Linked DNA regions of Mus musculus. The protein of the gene in region 1 interacts with the protein of each later gene in a pairwise test. Links are inferred from orthologs where the notes say so. Each region holds a gene or a part of one and is shown on either strand. Other genes may lie near its edges.

The links. The genes of interacting proteins can lie anywhere in the genome.
Region 2: the proteins of Txn2 (region 1) and Scyl3 interact in binary tests that used the Homo sapiens proteins (3 or more experiments, as listed by UniProt). The two-hybrid records come from large-scale screens. The link is inferred for Mus musculus from reciprocal best matches to the Homo sapiens genes TXN2 and SCYL3.

The regions. Positions count from the first base shown.
Region 1 is NC_000081.6:77,924,507-77,932,802, reverse strand, and holds the start of Txn2 (thioredoxin, mitochondrial precursor), read left to right. Parts: upstream 1-3,808; 5' UTR 3,809-3,896; intron 3,897-4,848; coding exon 4,849-5,111; intron 5,112-8,136; coding exon 8,137-8,260; intron 8,261-8,296.
Region 2 is NC_000067.6:163,948,484-163,956,046, forward strand, and holds the end of Scyl3 (protein-associating with the carboxyl-terminal domain of ezrin), read left to right. Parts: intron 1-658; coding exon 659-830; intron 831-831; exon of another isoform or gene 832-2,084; coding exon 2,085-2,243; exon of another isoform or gene 2,244-3,453; coding exon 3,454-4,133; exon of another isoform or gene 4,134-4,898; coding exon 4,899-4,955; 3' UTR 4,956-5,082; coding exon of another isoform or gene 5,083-5,233; 3' UTR 5,234-5,661; coding exon of another isoform or gene 5,662-5,856; 3' UTR 5,857-6,643; downstream 6,644-7,563. Other genes in the region: BC055324 (uncharacterized protein C1orf112 homolog), read right to left, coding at 5,099-5,233, 5,666-5,856, 6,854-6,973. UniProt on the Homo sapiens protein: May play a role in regulating cell adhesion/migration complexes in migrating cells.

The DNA.
Region 1 (8,296 bases):
CTTTCTTTCTTTCTTTTTCTTTTTCTTTTTTTTTTGGAGAGACAGGGTTTCATTTAATAGCCCTGGCTAGACTGAACTCTCTCCATAAACCAGGCTGTCCCTGAATGCACAGATCCACCTGCCTCAGCCTCCTCAGTGCTGGAACCAAAGGCATGTTCCTCCCATGCTCAGCTAATCTTGACTTTTAAAAACTGATCATAGAGGGCTGGAGAAATGTCTCAGCAGTTAAGAGCCCTTGTGGTTCTTGCAAAGAACCGGGTTCGGTTCCCAGCACCTACGTGACACCATTTCCAGGAGATCCAGCACTTTCTTCTGGCCTCGGCAAGGCACCAGGCAGGCATGTGGTGCACATGTGTACATGCAGGCGGAATCCTCATACATATAAAGTAACCAGTAAACCTAAAAACAAACAAACAACCTTTAAGCTGACCACTATGTAGATTTCACCAATGCTCACAACTCATAACCTGGAAGACAGCTGTGGCTGTCTGCCCTGACTCCCTTCCCTCTGCTTTAAGCCTATTCCCTGGTGAGCGCACCTATCCCCAGACATAGATACCACCAAGCACATGGGGGGGGGGGGCTGAGAACTAAACCTAGGTCACAGGCTGTCACCTGCTGGAGGAAAGGGGACTGACATCATGCCAGCTCCCGTAGGCGCTGCCTCTTGAGTGCTGGGATTAAAGGTGTGCACTGCTGAGCTAGCTCACAGCCCCTCTTTGAGGAAGTCATACTGTTCTCAGATGAGAAGCTCCGGCCAACAAAGGTAAGGTGACTACAGAACAAACAGAAACAGGGCTGGCTCTGCATTAGAATTCAGAATGTGGATCAAGCGAGGAAATTGGCTCTCAAGAAACGGCTCTGAAAATGCTGAATAGGATGGGTAGGTGGCTGGGGAAGAGAAAGTGCTGGAGACAGAGAAAAGCAGATATGAAAGTGGGAGGGGCAAGAGCACCCAGGCCAGATGGCTCCTGGCATTATCAGCAACAGCTGCAGCGGGGGAAGCTGACCTCAAGAGCCCAGGGATCTGGGTATCCCACCGTGGGTGGGTCGTCATCCCGGATGAGAGCAGAGGCTAAGACATGAGGTCAGTTAAGGTAGAGAGGCCACTCTGCCCACATCTGACCTCATCTGCCTTTGGTGGATAGGAGACTCTACTAAGTGGAAGGCTGACACGGCAGTGGCTAGCTAGAGTTTGTTTCCCACTCTGTCCTAGAGGAAAGGCCCTGCACAGCCCTGGGACCTGCCAATTGGACAGAGGACAAAACAGAACAGGATGTGCCAAGATGGGCTGAATACAAGCATGACAGTGGGTTTTGGAAGGGTACAGCAGGGCTGTGGAATGGATCTGGAGGTAGAACTTAATCTGGGTCACTGCTGCACCTCTAGAGTCACTGGGTACCTCCTGATGTCAGGCCCTGAGGCAAGTACTGGATATAGACCCCAAAGTGTGGGAGGTACAGACATTCCTGTGCTCACAGATAAGCACTACAGAAACCAAGAATGTTAACCGAGCAGAGTTGTCTCTTCAAAAGGAGAGATGTATAACCTGTTTTCTACCTAGAAGGCTGGGAGTGGAGGTGGCTAGAAAAGGTGGTGACCTCTGTACTATCTGTTTGATCAAGACCACACCAGATCCTTCCCCCAGACTCTTAAGATGTCACGTGTAAGTTAATCTATAGAACCCATCTTTATGGAAGACATGACGAGTACTTTACAAAAAAAAATTCAATGCAGTCATGTCTTAAGCTTTATTGTGCACCTGGGACTGAGCTAATTATCACCCGGAAATTTTGATCAAATCGTGTTGTACTTAAATATGCCTAAAATAAACCTCCCAGTGTCGAACTCTCAAAGTCTGACCCAACACCAGCTACTGAGTCGTGTTGAACTAGGCTGCCTTCCTGCCTCATGCAGATCTTGGATCATTACTCTGCGGGCCAAAGTGTTTGCACACACACACACACACACACACACACACACACACACACTTCAGGGCTGACGAAAGAGTGAGAAAAAGTGGGGATGCAGCTCAGCTGACAAAATGCGTGCTTAGTTCAGTTCCAGCACCACCTAAAACTTAGTCTGGGTTAAATGAGACTCTATCAAAGAAAGAAAGAAAGAAAAGAGGTGCAGAGGATGGAGGGGAGATGGAGAGAGAACAGAGGTAGAAAGAGAGGAGAGAAAAAAGAAGTAAGAAGACAGAGAGGGGGAGAGAGGGAGGACAAAAGTAAAAGAGAGAGGGCTGGAGAGATGGCTCAGTGGTTAAGAGCACTGACTGCTCTTCCAGAGGTTCAATTCCACCACATGGTGGCTCACAACCATCTGTAATGGGATCCGATGCCCTCTTCTGGTGTGCCTGAAGACAGTGACAGTGTACTTATATACATAAAATAAATACATCTAAAAAAAGAAAAGAAACAGATAACAAAACAATGAACAGAGACTGGTGGCTGTCAGTTGCAAAGACGAGGGCTGACCTCCACTGGAGCAGACAGAAAAGGGACCCAGAGACAGTGCAGAATCTAGTACCTAGTAGCACTTTTCTCAGAGAGCTCTGGGAGAGCCTTCCAGGCACAACTGCAGATGTAGAACACAAAGACGCCTCAGCAAACCACTAATTATTGAGAGAGTGGGTTAAAATAGGGTGGTAGATGGAGTCCATCTGCTGGGACACATCACATAACCCCTCTGACAGAAACCACTTGCTGAGGTGCGCAAAGATTCTCAACTTAGTGTCTATTGAACAGCCTCTCTGTGCTGGGCATTGTACCAGGTTGGCGCTAAGTATATGCAGATGAGACAACCACAAGTCCCTACTCTCAGAAAGAGACGTTGTCCATGTGTTCTGGAGGATTATAAAGCAGGCGCTAGTGAGAAGAAAGCAGTACTATTCAGAGAAGATAAGGTGAGCAGGTGTTCTAAGTACCCAGAGACAAAGTTCAAAGTGAGCAAAGGTATGGAAGGGAAGGTGGACAGCAACGTGTTCCCCGATCGTAAGGGGCTGGAATACTGGTTACAATATGCATAAATGAGGGACTTACACCTCAGTCACTCATGCCAGTGGGAATGGAGAGAAAGCCCTACACTTTACCTTGGATAGTGCTTCCTTGACAGTTCCAAAAAGTAAGACATGACAGTACAAAAGGTAAGGGCTTTAGAAGTACCGCCAGCCCTTAGGGGCAGAGGGACTTGCTCAATCATAAGAAGTTAGGTTGGGCAGAAAAGAATCAAAAACGGCAGAATAACCCCTTAATGCGACATGTGTACACACACACACACCACACACACGACCGGATCTCACGTAGTTCCTAAGTATCGAGGATGACTTTGAACTCCTGAGCCCTCCGGGGTCCTGGGATTAGGTGTGTGCCATCACACCCAGTTTACTTGGTATTGAGAAGCCAGGCTTTGGGTGTGCTAGACAGGAATCCAATTGAGCCATAACCCCAGCCCGGGAATCTCTTCCTTTTAACACTAAGCTTCTGTCGAGAACAGAGCTTCCTCGGCATTAAAGTGAACACAGCCTTCCAGCCCTTTCCAGAGCTCAGATCCAAGGGTGGGCAATGCCAAGAGGCGCAACACAGCAGGAGCTTGTTCCAAAGCCACTCCTTCCTTCCCGCCCTCTCACCCATCTCCTCCCTCACTGGTCCCACACATTTTCCGGTCCCTCCTCCACGATCCCATTCCTTCCGGTCGCGCCCCTTCAGCCCTACATTTTTCCGTCCTCCTCATTGGTGAAAAAAACCGAGCCGCCCCCAAGTTGCAGAGAAACGTCGTCCGCATAGTCTTTCCCGGAAATGACGCTAGACCTGCCCCTGAGGAAGTGACAACAGGAGTGCCCTTGACGGGCAGGCCGGCTGGGCTCTGCATCCCTCTGCTCGCACTGCCGGGAGGTAGGAGCCCTTGCGGGGTGGGCTGAGCCGGGCTGGCGGCGCGCTTCTCTGCAGGAAGGCGATCGGCAGGGGGATGCCCCTAGAGGGAGGAGGTGGCCTTGGCAGCTGCACGTCCTGTGCTCCCAGTCTCCCTGTCCCCCACCCTCCCCAACACGTGTCCATTCTTTGGGCTTCCCTCCGTACACATGCCACCCGCTTCACTTTGGTACCCCATGGCCGGTTCCTACGCCTCTCAGTTCCTCCTTCCGTAGTTGGGAGTCTTCTTCGCTCATTCTTCGACAGCTTCCCTTTCCTTAATTTCCCATAAAAACACTTTTTTAAAAGAATGACTGATAAAAATTTTACAGACGGCCTTGGGTTCCAATTAGCTGTACTTTAAAAACTGGCCTACGTTGGGCATGGCACTTAACCTACCTGTTGCCCTGAGTATGGACGGTATTATAAGGTTTCTTCAGAGTTGATCAGAGAGAGCCAGTGATGTGTGTGTGTGTGGGGGGGGGGGGCATTGGGCTATACACAGTGATGTAAGGCACTTGAGCCTTGTCCCTCCCTCCATTGACCTTTTATAATTCCACCTCAGCCTTGATTTCTTTTTGGCTGTCAACCCAGTTTTTCTGCCCTTCTAACTTAACGTCTATTCAGTGATGCTGACTCCTTACTCACCTCTAGATATTTTTTTTTTGTTGTCGTGGGGAGGTTTTAGAGACCAGGTTTTATTGTCTAGCCCAAACTGACCTTGCCTTATATCACCTGCCTCGCCTCCCAGGAGGAGGATTGACAGGTGGGCCCCACCACACCTGGCCTTTGAAAATCATATATTACAGTATTTCCATGCATCTTGCTTCCAATTCTGTATGTTCCCAACACCTCATTATTCCAGAATTCTTTGTTTTCCTAGTGTGTTGACTTCCTATTGCATGGCCCCAGCTCTTCCTGCCTCTTGCTCCCACAGATGGCTCAGCGGCTCCTCCTGGGGAGGTTCCTGACCTCAGTCATCTCCAGGAAGCCTCCTCAGGGTGTGTGGGCTTCCCTCACCTCTAAGACCCTGCAGACCCCTCAGTACAATGCTGGTGGTCTAACAGTAATGCCCAGCCCAGCCCGGACAGTACACACCACCAGAGTCTGTTTGACGACCTTTAACGTCCAGGATGGACCTGACTTTCAAGACAGAGTTGTCAACAGTGAGACACCAGTTGTTGTGGACTTTCATGCACAGTGAGTACTGGGGACAGTAAGAGATGGAGGGTCTTACTTAAGTATTTATTGAGGGCTCACTATGGCTCTCTACCATGTGTAATGCTTATCTACATACACTCATTATGAAGACTTTTGAGACCCTGTGCCTGTCCTTAAGTATGCAGTATGGTAGGAGACAGATTGATGGTCTTCCTAGCACACTAGGAGACATGCTGCCTCATGCCTACGTCCTGTATCTCAGTGCCCGAAAAGCTCAGAGTCTGCTCCAGTGTGGAACAACATCGTATTTTAACATCGAAACCCACTAAAACTGTGGGAAGGACTGGGCAAAACATTATCAGTGCCACCATAGCCGTCCCCAAGTACGGATGGGGTGGGCAGGAGGTGTATCTTCTCAGTACCGCAGGGGTGTGTTTTAGAGATATATAAATGCCTGCCTTGTGGCCTGGTCTTCATTTCCAGACCTTTACACCAGATTCAACCAAAAAGCCAAGAACCCGATTGCCATCAGGTTTTCTGGACAAGTCTCACCGATTCTTTTGTTTTCTTCCTGGTCCTTTCTCTGACTCACCTCGTTGCCTTGACCAGGCCAGTGCGTGTCCTTGTCATCTGAGATAAGGCCTTGCAGGCTGGCTTTTTAGGTATAGATTTATTAATTGATTGACATTTCTGAATGGGAGTTTTGGGGTAGGGGATAGGGGTTGAGATAGAGTCTTGCCATTTAGCCTAGGTCAGACTTGAACTTATCTCCTCCTGCCTCCACCTCCTATATATGAGATTACTGGTATGTGCCAGCTCAGAAAAGGAGTTAATGGCCAGGGACCTCTGCCTTCCTGTGATGGTGGGGGGGCTTCGAAGGGAATAGTCAGTGGGCTAATCCTTCTTTTGTCCTATACAAGGTAGTTAATTGCATGGTTCAGCTTTGTTTGTTTAGTGCCAGGCACACGTCCGGTACCACATACAGAGATGATAGCACACTGTCTGCCCTAGGAGAGTTCCTGCTCCCCAGCCAAGGAGGGATCGCTCCCGTACATTGCAGTGTGATCCTCGGCCGCTGACACAAAATCAGAAGAAAGTTCTGGAGTGAAAGGGTCACCCAGAGACACTTTGTCTACAAAAAAAATCCCAGGGGCTGGAGAGATGGCTCAGTGGTTAAGAGCACTGACTGCTCTTCCAGAGGTCCTGAGTTCAATTCCCAGCAACCACATGGTGGTGAGCCACCATCTGTAACGGGGTCTGATGCCCTCTTCTGGTGTGGCTGAAGACAGATACAGTGTACTCATATACATAAATAAATAAATCATTAAAAAACAAAAACGGGCTCACAACCATCCGTAACAAAAATCTGATGCCCTCTTCTGGAGTATCTGAAGACAGCTACAGTGTACACACATATAATAAATAAATAAATCTTTAAAAACAAACCAAAAAAAAACAAAAACAAAAAAACAATTTTAGTGGCTGGAGAGATGGCTCCGCGGTTGAGAGCATTGGCTGCTTTTCCAGAGGACCTGGGTTCAGTTCCCATAACCCATACGGTAGCTCACAAACTGTCTATATCTCCAGTTCTAGGGGAGCTGACACCCTCACACCAGTGCACATAAATTCAATTTATAAGTAAATAAAAAAAAAAGGGTTAACCTTTGTTTAGCTGGGCAGTGGTGGTACATACCTTTAATCCCAGCATTCGGGAGGTAAGGACAGGTGGATTTCTGAGTTTGAGGCCAGCCTGGTCTACAGAGAGTTCCAGGACAGCCAGGGCTACACAGAGAAACCCTGCCTTGGTCTGGTGAGATGGCTCAGTGGTTAAGAGCACTGACTTCCGAAGGTCCAGAGTTCAAATCCCAGCAACCACATGGTGGCTCACAACCATCCTTAACAAGATCTGACTCCCTCTTCTGGAGTGTCTGAAGACAGCTACAGTGTACTTACAATAAATAAATAAATCTTTAAAAAAAAACAAAACAAAACAATGAATTTATTAAAAAAAAAAAAAAAAAGAAACCCTGCCTTGAAGAACAAAACAAAACCAATTCCAGCACCTAGCAAGTAGAGACAAGTGGATCTCTGAGTTTGAGGCTAGCTTAGTCTACAAGTCAAGTTCCAACCCGACAAGGGCTACAGAGTGAGACCATGTTCCAAACCAACACCTCCATCCCTCTCCTCCCCCCCCCCCCAAAAAAAGGAAAGAAAGATGCTTTTAGCAATCCTGAGGTGATCCTGGCTCTCTTGTTTTATCAAACAAGACTGGGCTTCACTATGTAGCCCAGGCTAGCCTCAACTTCCTGTTCCTCTTTCTTCCTGTCTTGGTTTACTTTTTTTTGTTGCTATGACAAAATATCCTGACAAAAGAAACCTAAGGGAGAAAAGGAGCTGGCCACAGTTGCAAGCAGGGTCCATCACAGTGGCGGGGGCTTGGGGCAGCTGGCCATATTGTATCCATAGTGAAGCAAAGCGTTGCTGTGCTCAACTCCCCAGCTCCCCCTCCCACACCCCTCTTTTTAAACATTTATTTATCATGTGTGTGCATACATACATGCTCGTACCATGTTATGCATGTGGAGATTGGAGGTTAGCCCTCTGGACTTGACTCTCCCAGCATGTAGGCTCCCAGCGGCAAGCACCTAACTTGCATGCTCACATTCTCCTTCTCAGAATCCTAGCTCAGAGCCACCCACCCACCCACAGCTGGTGGCTCTATCCCACCTTGGTTTACATCATCAGAATAACCCTCCATGGGCATGCCCAGAGACCCCTCTCCCGAGTTCAGGAATTACCGGACTGCGCCCCATTGCCAGGCTGTGCTTGCCATCCTGTCATCTGTAAGAACTCCACATGCCCTGGTTCTGTCAGGGGCCGTTGTCTCTGAAGGTTCTGCCTAGCTCTGAGAAGGTTCCAGCACGAAGGCTGGCCGTTGCAGACGCTCCTGGGTTTCTATCCCTTCCATTCCCCCCTCAGAATCCATGTGGGGCCCGGGGAGGCTCTGGGGAGAAATGTGGAGCAGCGAGCACTCAGGGCTGACTGTCCCTTCTCACCTCCAAAGGTGGTGTGGCCCCTGCAAGATCCTAGGACCGCGGCTAGAGAAGATGGTCGCCAAGCAGCACGGGAAGGTGGTCATGGCCAAAGTGGACATTGACGATCACACAGACCTTGCCATTGAATATGAGGTAGGTGTTGGCAGAGCGTTGCCTCAGGGAAGCCAA
Region 2 (7,563 bases), on another chromosome or scaffold:
CCATAATTAACTCAGCCAGTGGGTGCATGTTAAATATATACAAAGCTCTTGTGGGCTCCTCCCATCTGAGTATGCATAAAGTTAAGAATTATAGAGTTTAGACCAGCAACATAGCTTGTCAGTCCCTAGAATGATCTGAGTGTGCTCTGCAGAGCAGTGTCGCTCCTACGCTGTTAATGTTCCATAATGAAGAAAGTTTGAATATTTATATGTAAAATTGCCATTTGTAGCAGTTGGGAGTTTTTAGTTTCCATTGTATTTCATCAGGGCTCTATCTTAAAAAATACATATATTTGTATGTATGTGCCTTCATTTATGTGCATGCATACCTTCCACAGCTCATGTGTGGAGGACAACCCATGGGAGGCAGTTCTCTTTCCACCATGTGGGGGGATCTTCATGGTCGTCAGGATTCAAAGCAAGAGCCTTTAGCCACTGAGCTGGCTTGCCAGTCCTGGTGTTTTGTTTTCTTAAGTAGCAATCCAAGCTGGACTGGGAGGGATGGATATTGTTTTCTTCCTTTAGAAGGTTAGAGAGCCACCAACCTTAGAAATTAAATGTCGTTCATTTGAACAAGCTTTATGACTGCAGGCCAGTTGGTCCTTTCCAGGATACAAAGATAATGGTTGTCTACCCTTATCCCCAATTTTGCTCCTAGGTACTACTGGGCCTTCGTGATACCAGCAATTCCATTGTGGCAATTACTCTCCGTAGCCTGGCAGTGCTGGTGTCTTTACTTGGACCAGAAGTGGTTGTGGGAGGAGAACGAACCAAGATCTTTAAGCGCACCGCTCCAAGCTTCACCAAAACTAGTGACCTTTCCCCTGAAGGTAAGACTAAAAATTATTTTATTAGGTTTTTTAGTATTATAGAATACAGGTTCATGTTGAAGTTAATAGACAGAAAGCATGAGAAAAAGTTGAATTTCTCTTTTCAAACTCATAGTGGGTACAGAGTAACCTTTAATGGCTTAAGTGAGAATCCTTTTTTGCAAACCCATGAGACAGATAACTGTTTACATACGATTATTTTAATGATGCTATGTACAAATTTATTATTTTCATGTACTATATATTAAAGATGTGTTCCCACGTCATTGCATAAACGCTACCTCACTTTTCTACCTGCCTCATATTTCACTGAATCCAATTCAGTGAGTTAGTGATGGCTGCTGTTTCTGCTGCTGGATTTTAGTCAGTATGTACTAGTATTGTTAGAATACTTACACATGCATCTTTATATGTGTGGTCCCACTCCCATAGCAGTCTCAGAAGCAGACTTTGTAGGTTAGAGGATATATTTGAATTTTAGTAGGGACTAAAGACTTGTTTTTTTAACACTAGATGCTTAAGTTACTTTGTTAGACTACTTGGATAAAAGATATTTTTGAGTACTTCAGGAAATCGTTCTTTGGTTTGTTTTGTATTAACAAAATTAGCCTTTTTGCTACTTTGTATGACCTTGAATAGGACCATGATTTCTTTACAAAATCCTGGGTCTCTAATGCAGTTCCTTGGATTGGAGTGCTAGACACTGAGCGCTGAGGGTGAAGGAGAGAGACAGGTGCTCTAGAGAGCTGAAGCCTTAGAGTGACACTTCACTCCCCTTAGCCTAGCTTTAAAGTAGGGGAAATATTCAGCTGTAATTAGAAATCTTTCTGACTGACATCTAATCTTAAGTGTAAGTTTCCTGGTAATTGTTAAGCCTGCTTTCCTCACTCACTGTCAAATACCACAACAGAAAAGTTATTTTCAGTGTATAGTTCTGTGGTGCTAAGTCATTATTTTGGGCTTGTACTCTTACTAGCCTTTTATTCTTAAAAGGAAATTAGAATCATGGTCTTACATTGCTACCAGAACAATTTTAAGGACTGAAATTTTATCTATGCATTGCCTCATAGTTCTGTCCCATCACCAAGTGGCAACAGAACCTGTCTTTAACCTCAGGAGACAGGAAACCCATTTAATAATGTTTTTTTCACCAAATATTTAATGATGTTCTTTTATCTGTGCTACATGCACCATTTCCCCTGACTGTTGCTCACCAATCATGTCCAAGGTGTAAGCACACCCCTCTCCCTTCAGGTTCTCCCATGCATGTTGTCTGCAGCCAGCAGAGTCGGGTCTCAAAAGTCTTGGAGGACCCCTCGTCTAACGTATTCCCTAAATGGTTGTCTGGCAACGTGCCCAGCAGCAGCAGGAAGCGCATACAGGAAGAATGTTACAGCTCTCTCTCACAGACAGGTAAGAACCTCAGCTGTGTCCTACTGCTCTGAGCTGTTCCTGAGAATGGTAAGTACACTTTGGACTAGCTGTCTTGTCTGACCTCTCCAAACAGTTGTTATGCATCTAATCCTCCCACATTGTACATTAACAGTACTTGAATTCATTTTTGTATCAGATGCTTTGGTATTCTGATACCTTCTGCATCATAATATACCAAAAGTGAAGAGTTCTATAAGATGTTAATAAAGACACGTAGCCAAAAATGTTCACTAGGATAGGAAACTGGAGTAAACCTAGATCCCTCAATACCTGATGACATTTGAGAAAATCTGTTTTAAACTTATTTGTGGGCCAGACAGATTGATGGTTCAGCAGTTCGTTAAAAGAACAAATTACTCTTGCAGGGGACACAAGTTTGGTCCCCAGCACTGGCCTCTAACTAACTCCAGCTCTAGGGCATCCTGTCCTCTGACGTCTGTGGGCACTTCACCCACATGCACGTGTACACACACAGTTAAAGATGAGTCTCGGAACAGTGAAATGGGCTGGACAGATGGCTCAGGAGGTAAAAGCTCTTGTGGCGAAAGGCTAGCAACCCAAGTTCAATGAAAAAGTAGAACCAACTGCACTCTGTCCTTTACCTATACACTATCTGGCATGTATGCACCCAGATCCCCTCCTTGCCAACCCCAGTAAATAAATAAAAAACAAACAAACAAAAAACTTACTTGAGCACACATTTCTAGGTGTAATTACTACCAAAGGATAAGACTGATTCTGTATTTATCTGTATTTGAAAGACTTATGCCAACAGGTATTTGGACATTTAGTCAATGATCTAAAAAGATCAGTTAATTATGACATGGTATGCCTTTGAGTTAAGTGCCATGTGGATTTGGAGAATTTATTTGGCATCTTTTTTTTTAAAAGATTTATTTATTACTTATTATATGTAAGTACACTGTAGCTGTCTTCAGACACTCCAGAAGAGGGCGTCAGATCTCATTATGGATGGTTGTGAGCCACCATGTGGTTGCTGGGATTTGAACTCCGGACCTTCGGAAGAGCAGTCGGGTGCTCTTACCTGCTGAGCCATCTCACCAGCCCCTATTTGGCATCTTTATGTTCTACTGCCTAACTTTTGCTAGTGTTCATGGATATTTCCAATTAGACCTACTTATTGCTTGCTTTAAGATTTCATGAGACTAATTCTCGCATATACCCATAGGTGATCAGTTTTCTCACACCATTAAATTCCCTATGAATGGACTCTCAGATGTGAAAAACACTTCAGAGGACAATGGAAGCTTCCCTGCAGGTTCTAATAAGCCCGAGGAGTGGCCTGACTGGAGCGAGCCTGAGGAGCCTGAGCAGCAGCCTGCCAGTATTCACAGATGGCCCCGAGAACCCTGTGATGTAGCAGAGTCCCAGCACACAAACCTGACCGCAGAGGAGGTGACCTGGGATGATGGTGAGGCTAGCTTTGGCACTGAAATAAACTCAACAGCTACAGCCTCTGCTCCTGTGCCTGTTACCTCAGGGGGACAGTCAACCTCTGCAGCTTTGGTTCCTCTCACTGAAGAGTCAAAGCCTTTGCAATCCAGTCCTTCCTCAAAGACCAGTCATAGACAGCATGAGGAAGTCAAACCACCCCAAGTGTCACAAGAAAGACCCCTGAAGGCTCCGTCAGGACTTGGTTTGGGAGAAGAGTTTACCATTCAAGTAAAAAAGAAGCCAGTACAAGACCCGGAGTTGGACTGGTTTGCAGATATGATCCCAGAAATTAAGCCTTCAGGTACTTTTCTTATTCTGCCTGAACTAAGGACAGAAGTGATGGTCCCTGACAAGGATAACGTCTCATCACTGATGCAGTTTTCCTCAAAGTTTGCTGCAACAGAAATGACCGAGGTGAGTTCTTTCTTTGTAATAAGCGTGCTACTGTCAGGGTTTCTCTCAGAAGTCCTAGCTAGCAATAAACAAGCATTTTTATCAACGAAAGAACAGAGTGCACAGCTGACTAAAAATGTTCAAAGTAAACCCAGAAATAATACAACCAGTTCCTAGAAAATTATTTCAGAGTGCTACAAAAAGGAACTAGTCCTTCAGACATGCCCAACCTGTTAACATGACACAATGCTATCATCTACAGTGTTCATGGTTCAGAATTTTAAAGAAATCAAACTACCAAGATGGCTCTATGGTTAACAATACGGGCTATTCTGGAGGCCTGGGTTTGATTGCTGGCTTTCTCAGGATGCGTCACATGAAATGATCTGTTAACTCGAGTTCCAGGAGATTCAATCCCTCCGACCTGTACAGGCACCAGACACAGTGGGGCATAGATATATGCATGCACATCAATGTTTTTTAAAAATACAAACCCATTTTATATCTTCTGTTTTGTGCCTTGTGTATAACTGTCCTTGGCCACATCTGGGTCCACCTGCTAAATGAGTAACTCCTCGATGTGGGGAAAGATGTCACTGTGTTGCACACTTACTTTCCAATGGGTGTGGTTTTTAACATCAGAACTAATCTTGCTTTTAACTTTTGGTAACAGCTTTATCGTTTCTTATCATAAGGCATTCTCTCTGGGTCATTTTTAAATGCTTGGCTTTTCAGATGTGTACACAATTTGCCGCAGACAGCTAGTGTCAGTGTGTTCTGTTGCAGGGAGAGGCAGAAGGCTGGGAAGGAGAAGAGCTAGCCTGGGAAGATAACAACTGGTGACGATAATGAAAAGCTTCAGGAAGAATTCTCAAAGAATTAATACCTCAAAGCAAGCTGCATGGATGCAAAACCCCAAAGCAGCTTGTGTTCCCCACACCAGGAGCTCTTTTTTGCAGTCTGTGCCAAGTCAAGCAGAGACCAACCTCAGGTTGCTGACTAAGTCCTGGTGGCAAAAGGCTTCGGTGCCAGAGTCCAGGAGAAAGTGCTGTGTGCACTTGACTGAGGCCAGTTTCCATACAAAGCAAACAGCTAAAGAAGTGCTTTTTTCCAGGACAATTCTGGAAGAAATAAAAAATTCAAGCTGGTAAGCTTAATTTTGTGCCATTTCTTTAAAAGAGTAAATTCTATTATGAAATAACTTAGTGGAAAAAGAAAACAAACAAACCTAGCTGTAAATTATAACTTCAGACTGCTAAGGCTCCTTAGGCAGTTTGTCTGTTTACAGTCTGTCCCTCTCCTTCGGACCTGGGCAGTTACTGTTTCACCTGTATTACACTGGACCAAAGCTCTCAATGAGAAATACCCACCCTCATCTCCCATCTTGTTCTTTATGTCAAATAAAGATTATTTTCACATTTACAAAAGCTCTTTTATGTGCTATGAAAATATACAAACATAATTTACATTCACAATTTCATTTACAAAACACCCAGGCAGGCATCTGAAGAGTCAGCCCAGTTCTGTCGATACACAGGCCATTCATATTTTACCCTGTAAGCACACAGCGTTTTAGCTTCTCGATCCTTCCTTGCAGCGCCTCCAGTTCTGGCAGCAGCCATGCTGGAGCAAGAGAGTGTTTGAGTAAAAACTCAGTTGTCTCCAAAGCCCTTGCTGCAGCTTTAAATACTGATCTGTATTCTTCTTCAAAGGGCAACACCCGACGGGCTCTCTTTGTGTGAGGCTGGAAAATAAGGAAATCATGAAACAAGTAATACATAATACTCATTCTAAAAATAATATAAGAGAAACTAGTCATAGGATCACGAAGAAGGCAGCCTTCCCATTTGTATTAACAATAACCTAAATGTGCTACTACTCTCCACGTCCTAACTTGTATGTGGCAGACAAGAAGTCGCACTGTGCAACGGTTCCCAATGATAAATGCTGTCTTGTCCAACAACTATCCACGAGTAGTCTTTAAAAACATCATTAAGGAAATAAAACATGAATTTCCTAATAAGTTTGTAAATGCTGAGAGCCATAATACCTTTCAACATACTTTTGGAGCCAATTAAGGAAAACTAAGGCTCCAGACATCTTGCATAGAAGGGGAAGAGGAACTGAGGTGAAACTAAAACATATCTTAACAACTAGTTTTTCAAAGGGAAGTCACAGTTTAAATTCATAGGGCTTTCGAACACAACTGACTTAAATTGAACTTTATATATATTCAGGCCTACAGCTACATCCAAGAAAACAAGTTACTATTGCACTATAAACCTAGAACATTGTTTTCCTTAGGACCCTATTCTATCACCTGTGTTCAAAACACAATTTTGAATGTATGTAGTCGTGTCAAATTTCTGCCAATTAATAGGTACATGTGATATTTGAGAAAAGTGATTATTATTGATGAGATGAATTGAACAAACTGACATCTAAGTGTCAGAAAATGCATTTATGTCATCATTGGTACAATATGCAATTACCAATAATAAAGAGTATATTTGGTACAATGGTTACAATTATTTCTTGTGTTCTTGTCTGTGTTGGTAACATTTCAGGGAAAGTGTATGGTTTTTGGTTTTGGTTTTTGATGTACAACTACCATAAAGTAAGAATTTTACCTGTCTACATTTTACTTGAAATTCAACATGAGGACAAGAATCAAACTAGTTCATCAGTAATGAGGGCAGATTCCCTTGTTTGACCAGTACATGCTTAAAAGCAGCCCATACCTGAAACGCTGACGTCTTCACTTCTTCTACAGTCACCTTAGCAGCAGGTTCCCAGAAAGTGCCTTTCTCCTGCTTCACATTGTCCACTGTGGCAACCTCAGCTTCATCTACAGATTCTGTCTGCCAAAGAGCACCAAAGAACACATTACATTCTCTACTAGATAGCAAGTGATATGAAATCTAGAAGATGAAAACACTGACTAGTTTATGTGTATGTCTGTAAATGCTGAGTGTTAAAACTGTTCTGGTTTAATCTGTGACCCAGCAAATTCTAGGTTAGGTAGACTCATCTTAATGTTAGAGCAGTGGCTCTCAGCCTTCCTGATGCTGCAGCCCTTTAATACAGCTCCTCATGGTGTGCTGACTCAACCATAACATTAGTTCCTTACTACTTCATAACTGTAATTCTGCTACTGTTACAGATCGTTAATATAAATATCTGATATGCAACCCCTTGTGGTGGTCACAACCCACAGGTTGAGAGCGACTGCCTTAGATTGTTCACTACAGAATTAAGAGTTGCCGACAAAAAGTCTGTTAACCTTACAGTACAGGGTGTGATGCTGTCAAAGCAACTACCTACAAATGTCCTTAAAGTCCTCAACTCTAACATGCTTAGTAACAATGCAGAGAAGTAAGTTCTATACCTACAACCCAGTTAAGTATGTGCTTAAGTATAATTTACATTTTCTGGTATCATAAGTGTGGTT